3 linked regions of the Rhinolophus ferrumequinum genome follow. The protein of the gene in region 1 interacts with the protein of each later gene in a pairwise test. Links are inferred from orthologs where the notes say so. Each region holds a gene or a part of one and is shown on either strand. Other genes may lie near its edges. The genes, in order: AGTRAP, HSCB and AP3M1.

The links.
Region 2: the proteins of AGTRAP (region 1) and HSCB interact in binary tests that used the Homo sapiens proteins (3 or more experiments, as listed by UniProt). The two-hybrid records come from large-scale screens. The link is inferred for Rhinolophus ferrumequinum from reciprocal best matches to the Homo sapiens genes AGTRAP and HSCB.
Region 3: the proteins of AGTRAP (region 1) and AP3M1 interact in binary tests that used the Homo sapiens proteins (3 or more experiments, as listed by UniProt). The two-hybrid records come from large-scale screens. The link is inferred for Rhinolophus ferrumequinum from reciprocal best matches to the Homo sapiens genes AGTRAP and AP3M1.

The regions. Positions count from the first base shown.
Region 1 is NC_046292.1:7,936,781-7,943,685, forward strand, and holds the start of AGTRAP (type-1 angiotensin II receptor-associated protein), read left to right. Parts: upstream 1-2,418; 5' UTR 2,419-2,547; coding exon 2,548-2,574; intron 2,575-6,905. UniProt on the Homo sapiens protein: Appears to be a negative regulator of type-1 angiotensin II receptor-mediated signaling by regulating receptor internalization as well as mechanism of receptor desensitization such as phosphorylation.
Region 2 is NC_046308.1:18,320,816-18,324,415, forward strand, and holds the start of HSCB (iron-sulfur cluster co-chaperone protein HscB), read left to right. Parts: upstream 1-1,174; 5' UTR 1,175-1,228; coding exon 1,229-1,464; intron 1,465-2,582; coding exon 2,583-2,679; intron 2,680-2,991; coding exon 2,992-3,081; coding exon of another isoform or gene 3,082-3,086; intron 3,087-3,600.
Region 3 is NC_046299.1:51,444,965-51,451,869, forward strand, and holds the start of AP3M1 (AP-3 complex subunit mu-1), read right to left. Parts: upstream 4,030-6,905; 5' UTR 3,770-4,029; intron 2,835-3,769; exon of another isoform or gene 2,644-2,834; intron 1-2,643. Other genes in the region: ADK (adenosine kinase), read left to right, coding at 4,297-4,361. UniProt on the Homo sapiens protein: Part of the AP-3 complex, an adaptor-related complex which is not clathrin-associated. The complex is associated with the Golgi region as well as more peripheral structures.

The sequences.
Region 1 (6,905 bases):
CTCACATGGGATGGTGGGCTGCGCCCCCTGCAACTAAAGATTGAAAACGGCGACTGGACTTGGAGCTGAGCTGCACCCTCCACAACTAGACTGAAGAACAACGACTTGGAGCTGATGGGCCCTGAAGAAACATACTGTTCTCCAACATTCCCCAATAAAATTTATAAGAGAAAAATTTAAACTTGACTTACAAAAGTATGACCCCAAAGCCTTGTGGAATATGCTTTGTGGGGGTCCATTTGACCTTCCATAGTTACAACTGGGTCACGGCAGGAACTCTGACTCCTTTAAGAATAGTTTTACTTTCTTGTGTTCCCTCCCCACCCCAGCCAACTGGGTCTGTCCCCACTTCCCCAGCTGGTCAGGATGAATACAGCTCTCAACCACAAGGTTGCCGGTTCGACTCCTCGACTCCCACAAGGGATGGTGGGCTGTGCCCCCTGCAACTAACAACGGCAACTGGACCTGGAGCTGAGCTGCGCCCTCCACAACTAAGACTGAAAGGACAACAACTTGACTTGGAAAAAGACCTGGAAGTCCATGCTGTTCCCCAATAAAGTCCTGTTCCCCTTCCCCAATAAAATCTTTTTTAAAAAAATACCCACCACTTATTGAGGAATTACTCTTTTCTATGTACTCTACTGACAACAATAATTAACACTAATACACTAATAATTATTAATAAAAGTACAGCCAATCCTGACTAAGTGCTTACTGTCTGCCAGACACTGTCCTAAATGTTTTTCATGTATTAATAAATCCTAACAACGCTTTGGAGGAAGCCACTGTTATTATCCTCATTTTACAGATGAGAAAACTGAAGCACCGAGAGGCAAAGTGACTTACCCAAGTTCAACCAGTAAGTGGACAAAGCCAGGACTCAAACTCTGTTGCTCTGTTCTAGCGCAGTTCCCCTGTGCTTTAAATCCCCAAAAATCAAGCTAAATGAGCTGTACCCATTGGGCTGGTCTCTAAAGATCACCAGCTCTCAGTTACAATGGCAGATGCTATGCTGCTCTACCCCTGGGCTGGAGGGCTTTGTCTCTGAATGGGGCATTAAATTAGGTCAGTGGGTACTGCAGGTCCTGCAGTCTTTCCTTTGTGTTGGAGAGAGTATATGTCTTGATATGATCTCAGGACCCACCCAGGCAGTTTCGCAGGTTCCCACATGGTCTCTCCTGTCCTGGAGACACGAACAAGTTGTCAGACAGACCGTAGGGGACCCTCTAAATAAAGTTTTCTCTGGTCATGGGTGAAGGATGGGGTACAGGGGAGGATGGCGGTAGTGGGGATTTACATTCCTGTTGGGAGGTGGTCAACAGCCTTTGAGACGGCAGGTGAGACAGCTCTCTCTTTCCTCAATTTCTTCCATTCTTGGTTAAGAGGCAAACAGGTGTCTTGACAGACTCTTTCTTCACTGGTCTGCTTTTTTCTGGAAACAGGTGTGTCCTACAGGTTTTCTGCTGGTCTTCCAGATGGATTTTTCTACAGCTTTTAGTTTGTTCATTCAAGTGGCCCCTTGTGTGTTGATAACAACAATATTTTCTATGTACTGCTCATCGAGTAAGTGCCAGGCACTTTTCTAGGCACTTTCCTTTGACAAAAACTCTATCCTTGACCAAACTTTAGTTAGGCTCATGAGGCTTCTCCTCAAACTCGGCCTCAGCCTGGCCTCGGTGTGCAACCTGTTCTTGCTGGGCCTGCATAGCCCAGTTTTAGCAAGAATCCCCCTGCCCTGGATAACTGAACACCCTCCACATCTGATCAAGTTCCTCACCTGCCCTCCCTCACCTTTTGATGTCTACGTCCTTGGCCTGCCTTTAGCAAGAATCTTGTTAGGTTGGTTTAGCAAGAATCCCCCCAGCCTTTAGTGTCTCCTCTTAGTAATTTTCCATCTACTGAGCCCTCACTCTGCTGCTTCGCTATAAAACCCCACTTGTCCTTGCTGTTCATAGTTAAGCTTGATTTTTCTCCCCTCCTGCAACATCCCTATTGCAATAGTGTTGGGTGAAGTCTTCCCTACCATTTTAACAAATGTCAGAATAAATTTTTCTTTAACAAAATGGATTCGTTCATTTATCCTCACAAGGGTCCTCTGAGGTAGGTACCGTCAATGTCTCTAACACTGGAAGGTCGAGAGGAGAGAGGATTTCCTGAAGGATGAGATAGCAGCTGTTGCCACATCCTCACTTTGCACCTGGACATACCCCCAAGTTCTCCTGGCTGCAGGTGGTCCCGTCAGTCCACCTGCTGGGATATTAACCAGGCAAGATATTGCTCCCTTTGCGGCAAAAGTCCTGATGTTCTCCAGCCGCCCCCGGGAACTCCCTGAGCAACGTGTGGACGGAGCTGGGAGCCAGCGGGAAGCGGGTGCTGGCCGACGCCGTCCCCTGGCAAACGGGCAGTGGTCATGTGACCCGAGTCACGTGGCCGGGAGCTGAGCTGGGGTTAGAGCCCAGGCAGCAGGGCTGGCTGGTGCTGGCAAGTTTGCTTCCCGAGTTCCAAGACCCCGCGGCTGTCGCACAGGTGCCTTCCGCCTAGGTCGGGATGGAGCTGCCAGCCGTGAACCTGAAGGTGGCGACGGGCGGGGCGGGGGTGGCCACGCCGCAGGCGGGCGGGCGCGGGGCGGGTCTCCGGGAGTGTGGGGGCCGTTTGCGCTTTTAAAGTAGGATTTTGGAGGTGAGAAGGCCGGGAGTTTGGGAAAGAAAAGGCGTAAGGAGAAAGAAAAGATACAGACCCCTGGTGAGAAGGAGGCGGGCAGACAAACCAAGGCCGGGAGAGAGATCCAGGAAAAGGCCAGGAGGGAAAACCGAGGGAAAGGGCCGCCCCCTCCGGCAGTCGGATCCCTGCCACTGGGAGCACCCGGCCCTGGAGGATTGCTGTGGCCTACGCCACCAGAATTCCCCTGGGGAAAGAGGAAGGCGCGGGGGAGGGACTAAGACCCGGAGTGGGGCTTGGAGGCGGACACCTCCCCTCCACCTAGAGGGAGAGAGGGAGGGCGGAGGAGGGAGACGGAGAGAGGTGTTAGACCTTTCACCTGGCCTCCCATAACTTCAAGGTAGCCTCCTTTGTTTGCTAAATCCGGTTAAGAAAAGTAGATGTGCCCGGACTGGTGGTTTACAAAATGTATCAACCCTGCGTCCTTATTTCCCAAGAAACACGAACTCCAGTAGAAGTTGCTTAACGCCAGAAAACCACAACTTGGTGCACTTAGTAAAACACTGCAGGGCTTCCTGGGATGTCTTCATTTCCTGAGCGGCTCTCCTGAGCTCCTCAGGATGCCACTGGCGGAGGTTCATTTTCTCCCGCCACACCCCAGCCCGCTGTGCTTCTTGGCTGGGTTTGCGACAGAGGGGCTGTGGCCTTTTTAGCTTTGGTCAGGAGGGGGTGAACCTTCCGCCAAACCTGCCATTTTGGGTCTCGGTGCAGTCTCCTTTGAGACTGGATCCAGGAATGCCCTTTTACTCACTGGTGACAAAGCATTTAGCAGCCATGGTGTCCGGTACTAAAGGAACCCAAAAGATAGATGACTACAAAACAGCACATCATTCATATTTGGGTTATGAGACCTGCTCTGTGCTATGACTTCATACAGGCAGACTTCCAGTAATCACGCTCGCTGGGACCAACCTCCCTGAAGCTTCTAGTCAACAGCTGCGTGGAGAGATGTCTGGAGCAAGAGAATGGGCTTGGGTTGAAGGTTTATCTGGGAAGAAATTGCCATGAGGGAAACATCCATACTCACTCTGTTCCAGGCAGTGTGGGGTTAATGCCAACTGCCTTTTCTCTAGCGATTTGCCTAAAACAATGCTAAGAGAAAATCAGGTGAAGGACAAAGCTGCAGGAGTTGAGAAGGAAGAAAACTCTCATTCCTGGGGCATCTGTGGTGTGCCAGGTTATTTGTTTAATCACAACAGCCTTCCGGGAAAGCTGATATTGTCATCTTTTACGGATGAGCAAACCTTGGCTCAGATCAGATAAATAATTTGCCAAAGTCCCACAGGGATTAAGTGGCAGAGTCAGGATTTGAACCCACCAGGGTCAGACTTCAAAGCCAGCCTGAGACCTTGCCTGGTCACCAGTTAGGGCTGACTTCTGCCTTGATAGTTTATGTCCATCAGGGGGACTTAAGTCTGTTTGGGGCTTTTTTGCAGCAACTTATTGGCCTGACAGACCAAGCACTACCATGGGTGTGAGCTGTGCTGGCTTTCGGTGCCCAGAATGAAACTCTGGTCCTTCCCTTGATTTGGGAAAAAAGACCCTCTGTCTCTATATAGGTCTTCCGCTGTTACTAGTCAGAGACAAGTAAGTGTCAGGAGGCCCTGAGGGACCAGGGTTGCCAGGTAACATATAGGATATCCAGTTGAATTTGAATTTCAGATCAGCAATGAATAATTTTTTATCATACGTATATTCCAGGCAATATTTGGGACATACTAACAAATTATGCATTATCTGAAATTTGAAATGAAGTGTGCCGTATTGTTAAATCTGGCCTTCCTATGGAGGGTAGCTGTTGACCCCGGGTTCACAGGCACTTTCGTGGGTTGTTCCGAGATCAGGGCCCCGAGGGGGCTGGGGAAATGCAGCCCGTGGGCCTGCCCTCCCTCCCCACTCCCTTATTTCATACATTCTTTGGGAATTGGCCGAATGCCAGCTTGTGCCCAGCCAGAGTGGGCAGTGGTACCCGGTTAAAAGAAATAGCTGCTCTAGGCCCTTTGCACAAAAGGTAGTCCCTAGCTGAGCCCCATCCCTGAGGCAAGTCTTGAGCCAGAGGGATGACACTGTGACAAGCTTAGAAAGGACTAGACTTGGGTTCATGACGTCTTGTGGAAAGAGGCCCTTGTGGGAAGAGGGTGGGGGTGGGGCGGGTAGTGGAGCATTTGGGTTGAGAACTCAGGAAGCTGACTTCCTATGGTAAGGAGGACAGCTTCGTATCAAGGGCTGCTTACCTGGCAGGCACTGTGTTGAGTATTCACATACCTCTCCACTTCCCTGTACCACTAGATCCGCACAACCCTACGAAACAGGCATATTGTCCCTACTTTACGGAAGAGCAAGCTGCAGTTCTGAGAAGTCAAGTAACTTGCACAAGGTCACACAGCTTCTGCAGCATGGAGCCAGGATCAGCTATCTGGCTGCAGCGCTCATGCAGTTAACCACTGCCTGACTCCGCCTCCCCTCTAGGGCAGCCCTGATTTGTGTCCCTCAGCCCTAGCCACCCTCTGGGATCTCACCACCTCAGATAACAAGTCATGGAGTGTTTGCACGGGACTGGTAGGACTATATTTCATATGTCGACCTGTGTGTTGATCTGAGAGGTCAGCGCACCACCTGTGGGGAAATCCCCCCCCACCCCCACTCTCGCATCCCTCATGGGCTTCTGGTGGCAAAGTAGTCTAAGTCCACAGGACCCCTTGGTTTCCCCTTAGCCTTCCCTTCTCCAGGTTAAACGCCATTTCCATCCGCTTTTCCAAACCCTGACAGTATAACATGGATAGAGCACAGGCCTTGGGGCCAGACATTCAAGGCTGGGCTTTGCTACTTATTCACCGTGACTTTGAGCAGGTTTCTTAACCTGTCAGTATCAGTGTCCTCACTGTAAAAGAGGACAAAAATAAACCCTATCTTCTAGGGTGATAAGAGGAGGAGCTAGTGGTCCAGGAGGTGGTGTAGCTTTACATTTTTACTGGCATAAAACCTCAGACCAGATAGACCATCTGAGATCTGCACCTGGCCTCTCTTATTTGTCGGTGTTACAGTGTGGGCCAGTTTACCCTCTCACAGCCTCCGTTTCTTCATAAGTAAAGCGAGATTAAGACTCTCCCCCGTATACCGGTGGGTGCAAGGATGACAGGGGTCAAGTGTTCAAGGCAGTGTAGACACTGGCAGGCAGGGCTTCATCAGCAGCAGGAGTTGCTTTTGCTGTTCACGGTTATAGGATACCTGTCCTACATAGGTACTCATGGTTATGAAGCAGACACAGACATTGACTGTCCAGATGCCTGTGTCTCTGCAGTTGAGGCACCCCTAGGGGACATACAGGTGATAGGTATTGCCTCCATTTCACAGAGAAGGAACATAGGGCTCAGACACAGAGGGACATGGCTCCTAGACCACAACCAGGTCTCCTATGTCTAACCCAGCATCCTGCTACCCTGTGTTGCCTTGACTCACAAGCCCTCTCCTCCCTCGGTCTTCTGACACATTGGTCACCATCTGGAAGAGAGCCCAGCAGCCCCCCTGGACCATGCATTATATGAAGAGTCTAGTTCAGGTCTTTCTTTCCTCTTGTCCATCCAGGAAAGTGCTTGGGCCACCAGACACATTCTCAGGTCCCGCCCCCCTCCCTCCCCGCTTCTCTGTGGCGGTACCTGAGAAGCCCAGGTCTCCCATTGATTACTGGAAGTCTCCCCCAGAGCCAGCAGACAAGACGGTCCCTTTGTGCCGAGATGAGTCACTGTTCCCTCTTCCAGGACTCTGGGGAAGGGCAGTTCCTGTGGCCCAGTTTCTTGTTGGAGCTTTCCTGGACATTAGACATTTTTAGGCCTGGGTGGGTGTGTCCTCCCATTACAAAGATGGGGAACCTGAGGCAGAGGAGGCTGTCTTCAGTGGGTTTCTTTTCCCAGTGGCTTAAGAGAAGTGATCAGATAGTGCTAAGTTTCTTATATATGAGGACTGACAATTAAGTTTGTGAACTTACTGCAATGGTGTTGCTAACCTTTTTTGCTGTCAGAGGGATTATTCATTATGAATTTTTTTTTTTTTACAGTGCCTGGTTAAATTATTATTATTATTTTCCCCCTTCTTCCGCCTCCCCCGCTCCCACTTCGGTTCAAGCCTTTGTTTCTCAGTCTAGTTGTGTAGGACACAGCTCCCTGGCCCATGCTGGTATCATGAGCCTT
Region 2 (3,600 bases), on another chromosome or scaffold:
ACCTCAGCCAGGCTGAGTGTGTCCTTCTGCAGTTTTTTTTGAGCAAGACTTCTCCGCCCTGAAAACTGGCAAAAGACAGTGTGTCAAGAGGTAACTATCATCGCTTATGATAAATAAGGGTCTACCAGGCTGGGATCACACTGGCCTCAGTGTAGAGAAAGTACAGTGGAGTGGTTAGAGGCAAATAGGTCTGGAGTCAGATGCCTAAAAAATCTTTGCATGACCTTTAGGTAAATCAACCTCTTGAAACCTTATCTGAATAAAGTAGATAGATCTTTCCGATTAAACGAGATGATACATGAACTCTCCTCCTCGACTATCCTTGATAATTGGGACAACAGAATTCCAATCCCCAAGAATCCAACAGCCGGAAAGACCTTACAAGTGCAACACAATCTTTTATTTTCTAATAGAGAAACCGAATCCCAAGGAGGACTGGTACCCCTACCCTCTCCTAGCCATCCCATTCCACACACTTACTTATGGACACTTGCATAGCATCCTCCTACACAAGTAAGTATATTTCCAATTCCTGCAGTGCCTATCCGCTAAAAATGGGTTCTCAATACGTTATTTTCAAGATTGAATCTAAAGTATGGCAATAATTACTGACATTTCTAGAACTCTTCACAAAGCAACTTTGCTCTCATTTTGAAGAGCACAACTTTGTTCCTTCTTATCCTGTATGTCTGGGCCAGTTACAGCTTGTAAGTGAGGAAGTAACTGGAAGTTCATCTACGAAGGAAGAGAGTCGTCCACGCATTCCTCTCACCCCACCCCACCCCCGCCGAAGCTCAAACAGAGCTCAAAGCGGAAGCTCGAGAGATTTAGTTCGCCTTAATTCCCTGAGAGCGGGATTCGAACTCCCACACACCAGACAGAAGATCCCCACTATAACTCACCTCGTGCGCCCACCTGGAGCCACAGACTCACAGCTACCACCACTAGCGAACTGGCGCTAAACAGATACAAAGTCCACCCTCAGCCAATCAAAACATTCCTCCGCTTCTGCCGGACCAATGAGGAGCAGCGGATGTAGCCGTCCACGATAGCCTCACTGCTTGATGGGAGTTGTAGTTTAAAATTCAGAGCGGGACTCAGAATCCAGGTTTCCCTCGGGTGATCCCGCCCCCTCAGTCCTCCAGCCAATCAGCAACACTAGTCTGGTGGGCCATTTGTCCCCTTATCCCCCTACAGGTGACCGCGGCGAAACTAGGCCGCGAGCCAAATGTGGAGCGGGAGAACCCGAGCGTTGCTCCGGGTGTGGGGGTTGTGGCCGACTGGGGTCCTCGGAAGGAGACCAATAAGCTGTAATGCTGCGTCACTAGCGGGAAGCAACTGCCCCCAGTGTTGGAACTGCGGCGGCCCAAGGGGCCCCATTGGTGGGGACGGGTTCTTCTGCCCGCAGTGCCGTGCGCTGCAGCCGCCTGACTCCACTCGGGACCACTTCAGCCTTATGGACTGGTACGGAAACGGCTTCGGGAAACGCCCCGGAGCGAGAGAGAAGTCAGGGATAGAGGTGCGAGAGGGAAGGGCCGATCAGGTTTGGGAAGCAGAAGGAGGGGCCAGTTAGATAGGTGGGCGGAGCCTTGGAGACCAGTGTCTAGGTGGGTGTCGGGCCTGGGAGAATGGAGGATGGTCCTGAGAAAGAGGAAATTGTGGGGCGGGCCTGAAGGAACGGCTTTGAGGGATGGAGACAGGGTGGAGGGAGGACTGGAGGGGTGGGAAATGAAGTTAGAGGAAATTGAGGGACGGAGACTACTAAGGTAGAGGGAAACTTGAGGGGCGGGCCCTGAGAGAAGGCGAAGTTGAGAGGTGGGGTCTGAAGGAAGGGTCCTTGAAGGGCCCTTGGAGAAGGGAAACTTGAGGGTTAGGATCAGAACCATAAAAGTTGGGTTGAGACTTTTAAGAAAGGAGTACTGACGTGTTATCCAAAATAAGGGAGTAAAAGCATGGAAAAACTTAATACTGTGGACAGAGCCTAAGGGAAAAGTGAGAATTGGAGGGAGAAGATCTGAGGAATAGGTGTTTTTCTTGTTTTTCTCTCAAGGTTGAGGAGCTTCGGGGAAGTGGTAAAGTTTGGGCGGAGCTAAACTTGTAAAATGGGGCAGGCTCTGGGAATAGAAAGCAAAAGGGATTAGGTTAAAATAAAGTGGGAGGCGGAGATGAAGGAACCCAGGCCTCGGAAAGATAGGGAGGGATTGGGAATCCCCCTTCCCCTTAACTCTGAGATCTGACCCCACCAATCACTGTGCACTTACGAAGGGCTGCAGTAACACTACCCTTTTAAGTTCCTCAAGGGTGGGAAACTCGTTCCCACCTCAGGACCTTAGCACATTTCCTCTGACATTTGATTACTCTTCATCATCATTCATCTTGCAGCTCAAATGCCATCTCTTTGTCCACCACATTTACCACTCTCGCAGACCCCTTTCCGTTTTTCTTCACAGCACCTACCATTTTTGGAAATTATCTGTCTGCATGTTTATTGTATATTTCCCCATGGGAACAGGAACAAGACCCATAGTATACAAATCTATAAATACTTGATGCATGAATGTTATCTCCCTATTTTCTTCCAGCAACCGTTCCTTCAGAGTTGACACTGTGAAGCTCCAGCATAGGTACCAGCAATTACAGCGTCTTGTGCACCCGGATTTCTTCAGCCAGAGGTCTCAGGTAGCCTATTGGCCACCCCTAATCATACCCACACACATATGCATTCTGGGTGGGTGGCGGTGGTCTTGCGGTTGTGTGATTATCAGGGATAGCCAGCTCTATCCTGTGGCAACCAGACGCCAGCCAGGCAGGCCCTGGACCTGTCCTGCAAAATTAGAATCCATCAGTTGAAAATAAATAAATCTTATCCCACACTGGTTCTATTTTGGCCACTTCCTTAAGTGCCTGCCCATCAGTATTTTATGAAACAGCTTGTGAATATCAGATGGCTGATTTGGATGGTAATAAGACTATCTCCATATCCACTAACAGATTGAAAAGGATTTCTCAGAGAAGCATTCAACCCTGGTGAATGACGCCTATAAGACCCTTCTGGCCCCCCTGACCAGGGGAGTATACCTTGTAAGGTGATTTCCCAACCCTTCTGTGCATGACTGCCTGCTGTCCACTATGGTACAGCTGCTGCCCTGTATTCAGCAGAGGAGTGCTTGAGACCTGATCTAGTCCAGGGACCCAACTACATTTAGCCTCAAAGATACTACATGATGGGGGTGGTTGGTTAGCTCAGTTGGTTAGAGTGTGATGCTGATAACACCAAGGTTGCCGGTTCGATCCCCACATGGGCCACTTTGAGCTGCGCCCTCCTTAAAAAAAAAAAAAAGGGGGTGCTACATGAGTATAGTTTTCTCTGAATATCCTCTGTAAATGTTACTTGCCCAATTGCATTTTTTAAAAACCATTTTTCGATAAATTCAAGGATTGGATGGTGATGACTTTTAGGAAAGAGTAGTTTTGGACATTTTTTTTTTTTTTGGAGGGTGAGGTGAACACCTTAGAATTTTAGGATTTAATAGAATCTTCCCAAATATCTACTTCAAGCTCTCAAGTGGAGAAATGACTCCCCATGGGTCACACAGTTCT
Region 3 (6,905 bases), on another chromosome or scaffold:
ACCCTAAAAGACCTGCTTGTTCTAAAAGCAAGTGACTTTGTTGTTTGTTTATTTTTAGGAACCAGATTCCTACTCATCCTCTTAAGCTGGTGAAAAATTCTTTCCAGGAAAAGTTTCCACCAAAGTTGTTTTCACTGGCAGTAATTCAGGTCTTGGAAGAATACAGTAAGTTAAACTGGCCATCTGGATTTATTATTGTTATCCTTAGTGCTGAGATGAAAGTTAACACTTGTGGCTTTCAACAGTTCTGAGCTTTAAAACCCATCTTAACCTTCTATTATAGGAAAAGAGAGCTTATTTCTTCTATCCATATTATGACCAAGGGCCTAATGCATATAACAATTAAATAAATATCACATGCAGCCTGTTTGTTTAACTACTTAACCTTTTAGCAGCTGTAGTTCTTTTATTATTTTAATAAACTTCCTGGGAAAGCTACACACTCACCACCACCACAACTATCCTTTGAGTCAGAAAGCAGAATTCTCCCAATTTATTTTAAAGCCACTTGAGAAACTGTGCTCAGAGGCTGTTCCACCCGACTTCTGACTGCAGCTTAAATATGTCATAAATTCCCTTTACCAAATGTTGAACACACTCATTCTGATGATTCATAATCAGTGCAATTACAATAGTCAAAATATCCTTGGAAGATAGTGTCTAAAAAAGAAAATGTGTTTCTTCTATATATATAACAGAATAAAGGCATGGAAGGTGAGATAGGCATATCCAAGGCCAGAGAATAAGACCAGAAAATAATGTAGCTTCCCTGATTCTCAGCCAATATTTTCACCATTTATTCATTCAACAAGTAGTTTTGAATATGTTTTATATATTAAGCAATGGGGATACAAAGGTGAACAAATTAGAGTCCCTGAACTCACGTTTAGAGTTCAACGAAGAAGGCAAACAACTTAATACAGTAAAATGTAATTCCTATTATGATAGGGGAGATACAGTGTGCTATAGAAATTCACAGGCTTTGATGTGAGAGAAAACACAAGACAAATCCAGTACAAATTCATCAATTTTAGGAGGCGGAGGGAAGTTGTGAGATGAGACTGGAGAAGAAGATAAGCAGAGATTAGTTCACTTTATTCTCTGGGCAATGTAAAATCATTTTCTATGGTTTTATGGAGGAGATTCATGCAATCCAATTTACAGTTTTAAGATTGTACTGCGGGAACTGCATAATGGGGCAACTGAGTATCGTGAGACCAGTTGAGAGATGTGTTATGGTGGTGGCCTGAACTAGAGTGTTGACAGTAAGGATGGAGGAAAATGAAAAGAGAAACATTCAGGTTTGAGCAAAGATTAGGGAGGGGGCGGGGTGGAGATGAGAGGGGAAAATGAGGCATTTAGCCCTAATCCTGTATAATCTGATCCAAATCTGGATATATTTGACTCAAATGGATATATTCAAAAGACTTTTGTATATATAGGTCTGGTGCTTTAGAGAGAAGCCAAGTTTGAGATCGATTTGTGAGTAATCATGATTTTTTACTAATGGGAATTGTAACTATAAGGAGAATAAAATTACAGAGAGAGAATGTGCATAGTAGAAGAGAAACTGTGGAAGGAACTCCAACATTTGAGTAGCAGTTGGGTCAAGCAAGTAGGCCTAAAAAAGAAGACTAAGATATGGCTGAAGAGGGAATAAAAAAAAGGGGGTGGGGAGGATAATGTTTTTTAGTGACTAGAGTGTGTTAGTGTGTTTCCAAAAGAATGGAGTATTAAACATTTTAAATGGCACAAAGAATTCAAGCTACAAGAACTGAAAATGACTGTTGATTTAATAGTGTTTCTCAACTTTCTTTTCATTATTACCTGCTTTTTCAGATTTCCCTTCAATCATACCCCTCCCATAAAAATTTTAGTACTACAGTATATCTGTATATCTCTTTATGTACTGTAAACATATCTTTGCTTTATACATAAAAAGAGTATGATTTTTTCGTTTGTTTCACAAGAGGCAATTTTTGTCCCCACTGAGATATATGATTTAACACAGGACACTGGTGATCTTTATAAAAGTAGTTTCAGTGGTCGTTTAGCTGGAAACTAGATATGCTACAGTGCGCTGATAAATAAATAGCATGAAGTGGGAAGAAAATAGATAAGGCGAGTAGTTGATACATTCAAGAGCTCTAGCTGTGAAGGGGATGAAAAGACAAGAAAATAAATAGGAGTGGTTCATAAAATTAAGGAAGATGATTTTTACATGCTGAATGAAAGGTGTGAGTAGAGGGGAAAGACTGATGATGTAGGAGAATAACTGAAAAAAAGAAGACCCGGAGACAGTAGGAGAGAATGGTATTGGGAGACTAGGTGAAAGGATTTGACCAAACGGCAAGATTTGTATATTTGGTTGCAGGAAGATGATGGCTTTTATTTTCTGTGTGTAATAAGAGAGGTCATTTGTAGAGGGAGAGAGACTACAAATACCATTTGCTACCCATGAATAGAGATATTATTGAGCTTCTTAAATATTCTTAAAAATATCTAATCAGCAGGGAACTCCAATAATATATTATGTTGACTATTTAGAAACATTGTAAAAATCCTAAGATTCAGTAAGAAAAGCTAACCTTATTTCAAAAAGAGCTTTCCTACTAAAGATATGTCAGGTAATTCTTCATTTACCTCATTCCTCCACTTTTCCTATGTTTTCAATGGAAAGTGTCCTCCTTTGTTTCCAGAGCTAATTCTTCCATTTGTAATTTTGATCCCATTTCCTTTCGTCTTTTCCAAGGTCTTTATCTCCTCTTTTTGAATCTTTAATCTTAGACATGGGTTACTTGCTTTCTGCACCAAAACTTAATGTATTTTGTATTCTTTAAAAACAAACAAACCTCAAACCTTTTAGGGATCTTGTCATGCTCAATAATCTTTTGCTTCATACTCCAAATGAGTTCACTTGCAGTCTCTCCTCTCAGTAACTGACTCTATTCAAGTCGCTCTCTCAAATGGCTAACTTCCTAATCAACAAATCCAACAACCTACTCTCAGACTTCAATTTACTCCTTTGACCCTTGTACATTTCATGGTAACGTTCCTCCAAACAAACCAAGTACTTCTTATCCTCTTATATGAAACTTCACCTGTTTGGGTTCTCACCTTGTAAGTTTCTTTCCGGATTACTTCCCACACTTTTTTTCTTTTAATCTTTCTACCATTTCCATCTAAATCACTGTTTCAACCTCGATATATCCCTAAGTTCCACAAAATTCCTTCTCCTCATCCGACGGCTCCTAATTCTATAGTGGCACCACCTACTTAAAGTATAGGCTTCAGGTTCAATCCAAATCTACCAAATCCAACCAGCCACATCGCTCATCACTTTTCCATATTCACTCTCTCCTGAAGAAGTGCAATCCCCTCCTCACTGTATTCCCCACCCCAGACAAGAGGTCCGCTCGGCTCGGTCAGAGGTTTTGTTCTCCAAAGCAGAAGCCTGGGGCTGACGTCCGAATCGTTGGCACTCCAGCTCACTATGGGTGACAAGACCTTTTTCTCGCGCCGGAGAACCCCAATGAGCCTGAATCTCTGGTTTGGGGCCTGAAAACACTGAGCTGCAGGTGCACCGCTCCCTTCCGGCCCTGCTGGCAAGAAAGCCCGGAAGGCCGGGAGCGAGGCGCGGTCCCGGCCCACAGCACCGGAGACGCTCCGGTCCGCAGTCCAAGCTGGAGTCCGGAACCCCAGCTATTCAGCTTACTCCCCAGGTTCCGAACTGTCCCCTGACCTCAGACTCCCCGCCCCTCACACTCACCCCGACACCTGGGCCTGTCAGTGATTCGGCGCCGGGTCCTCTCCGGACCGAGGCTGAGGCAGCTGAGAAGACCGTGAGGACCCCGCAGTTGGAGTGCCCAGTAGATTGCCTGACTAACAGCTTCAAAGAAACCAACTAGGTCTACCGATTTGGAAATATTAAATAAGCGGGAAGACATTGAATGAGAAGAAACATGTCTCTTGCGGTTTAGGATATAAATCTTTTAGATCACCCAGAATCTAGAAGAATGGGGGGCAATCTCACACCATCTGGATTCAGGCGCTCATCCGCAGCCTAACTCAGTCTGGGGTCCCCCTATAGTTGGGTGGGCGGGGCCATGAAGGGTTTGTATATTAGCTAATGGGTGGAGCCGAGAGGTAGAACCAATGACTGTGGGTGGGAGAGGCATAGACTGGGAGGAGTCGGGAGGGCGGGGTTAGTAAAAAGAAGGCGGTGATACGAGAGGGGGCGGGGCCAGAGAGTCGAAGGGGCGCACGCCGGTGCCTAAGTGGGTTGGGAGCGTAAAGATGGCCGCGGCTGAGCAGGAGCCGAAACCCAAAAAGCTGAAGGTGGAAGCTCCGCGAGCGCTGAGGTGAGCGCTACCCTAGGAAGGGTAGAGGGTGACGGCACCTGCCGCGACCCGGGCCCACGTGTAGTTGTGCGGCCCTGGCGCTGGGTGGCGTCCTCGCTGCCGGCATGGGGCCAAAGTGCAGAAACCGCTGCTCCGGGAGCTGCCCGCAGGGCTGCGATCTCTTGTCAGGTGCCCGCCCAGTTTGGCTGAGTCGCCTCGTGCTCCGGAGCGGCTCCCGCCGCCGGTGACCAATCAGAGCGCCGGTCGGGGTTGCGGAGCCGGATGAGAGCTAAATGCAGGCGCCACGTGGGAGCCCTCTCAGGCTGGGCTGGTGAGAGACCCGGGAGAACCGGGCAGGACCAGCGCACGGTCAAACGCGGCCATCTCCTCTTCCCTGTGGGGTGACGAGGAGGAGACCCAGCGACTGCTCTGCCCTGGGGCAAAGACATAATTCTTGGGGATTTTTTCGTAAATGTCGCGGAAGGACGACTTGACCTTCCTTTTCATAGAGACTGATTGCTGGCACCTGTGAAGATCATCTGCCAGGGACTCAGTCCCCGCCTCTGAGGCTTTGTGGGGGCGGCCTTTGGCTGAATGGTTAGGAAAGGCTGATTTTTCTTTTTTTCTTTGTACTTTTTGGCAGCAATGGGGAGAGTTCTGCGTCCGACACCTGCCTCACATGTGATTGATGTCGCAACTTTCACTTATCAAAAGCTGTTTGTTAAATATACCTTCCTAATAAGTATAAAGTGCAGTGTGCACAGTCCTTGCTTTTGCAATAATCGTTGGAAAGCAATGATTTTTCTAATTAAAAAGGGACATATCGAATTGATTTAAAACTATTGGGACACGCCTGATTATACAAGAGAAATCTCATTTCTTCCAGCATCACCCCTCTTTACCTCCGAAAGAATGAATCATTCATAATTGAAAAGAAAGGGTCTCTTAGGGGTTTGGTGGTGTGTTCATGCTGTTTTGAATGGATGGTGACCAAATCCCTGCCAGTGCCTTTAATGTATTTCTACTACCGTCAAAGGGTTAATGTGCCTACCTCATACGAAGAAAATAAACTTTATTTTGTAACAACTCAGGATGTTCTATTTTTATTTTAAGTTTACAAACTATAGAGTAAAAGGGGCTTTTGAATTAGACCTATCTGGGTTCGAGTGCTTTCCCTATTGACCCATTATTAGAGTGTTTCCTTAAAAGTCACCTCTTTTCACAAAGTTTCCTCTAGTAAATTGGCAGACAGATGCAACTTTTCCCTACTATCCTACTAAACAAACTGCCCTTAGATTTTCCTATGTTAATCCATTTTCAAAGTGCTTTCCTATTTTACAGATGAAGAAATTGAAGCTCAAATGAAATATTTAGTTAACTGTTTGAACCCAGAGCATTTGGGTGCAAGTTCATTGTTGTTGGACTCTACTGTGTCTACTTTTATATAACCACCAAAGGTATACTTTCTGCCTATGCATCCTTACAACGAATGATAAATAATGTTTAATACTTAAGTATGTATTTGCTAGACACTATATCAGCACTGAACCTATTTTAAGTCATTCAATTCCACAACAACCTTACAATGTGGGTACTGTAATTATCTCTATTTTACCAAGGAGGAAACAGGCATAGAGAGATTAAGTAATTTATCAAGGTCACTTATCTAGTAGGGTTGGGATTTTAATCCAGGTAGTTTGATTCCAAGTCTGTACTCTTAATTACCATGCTATACTTAATTAACTTCAAGCAATTTATTCCAAAATACTAGTGAATTGTTAACTCAGTTTTTGTTTGTTTCTCCACTACTTTTGCTTCTGGGTGTTTTTTGTTGTTGTTGTTGTTAGTGTACGTAACTTTTTATGTTGTTGCAATATGTGGGCATATGATACAAAATAATTCTTAAATATATATAATATATTTTGTATATCATTAATGTATTTAACACTTGTAAAAGTCTTTAGGCCACTGAAACTCATTTTATACACTATCTACTTAATGCCACCTGTAGATTTAAAGTTAAAAGATTTAGACACTTGAGGGCTGGGACAAATCTCTTAATTTTGTGTGAAGATGTTTCAGGATTGGCTGTTTCTACTTTCATTATATTAGTTTGGCTTTAAGGGTTGAGTGGGATTATACACTGAGTGGTCAGACTGCATGCGTTATTTATGATGACTTGCTTGACAATTCAGAGGCTAGCTATCAGTTTTGGTTAACTTTTAGGGAGAATGACTTACAAAGTCTAAGCCTAAGTTAATGTGTAGATCAGTCAGTGAGGGAACACATAAGTTTATGAGATATTTGTAGATGCCAGGGAAAGGATTTAGACTTTTGTGACAATTTCAGAATTCTGGAGTAGCAGTGCTCAACCACGGGAAATTTTGGAAGTGTCTGGAGACATTTTTGTTGGGGACTGCTACTGGTTCTCAACCAGAGGACATTTTGCAAATGTCTGGAGTCATTTTTTTGGAGCGTGCTATTGGCACCCCGTGGGTAGAGTTCAAGGATGCTGCTAAACAACCTGCAATGCACAGGAAGCCCCCTACAACAAAGACTTATTCA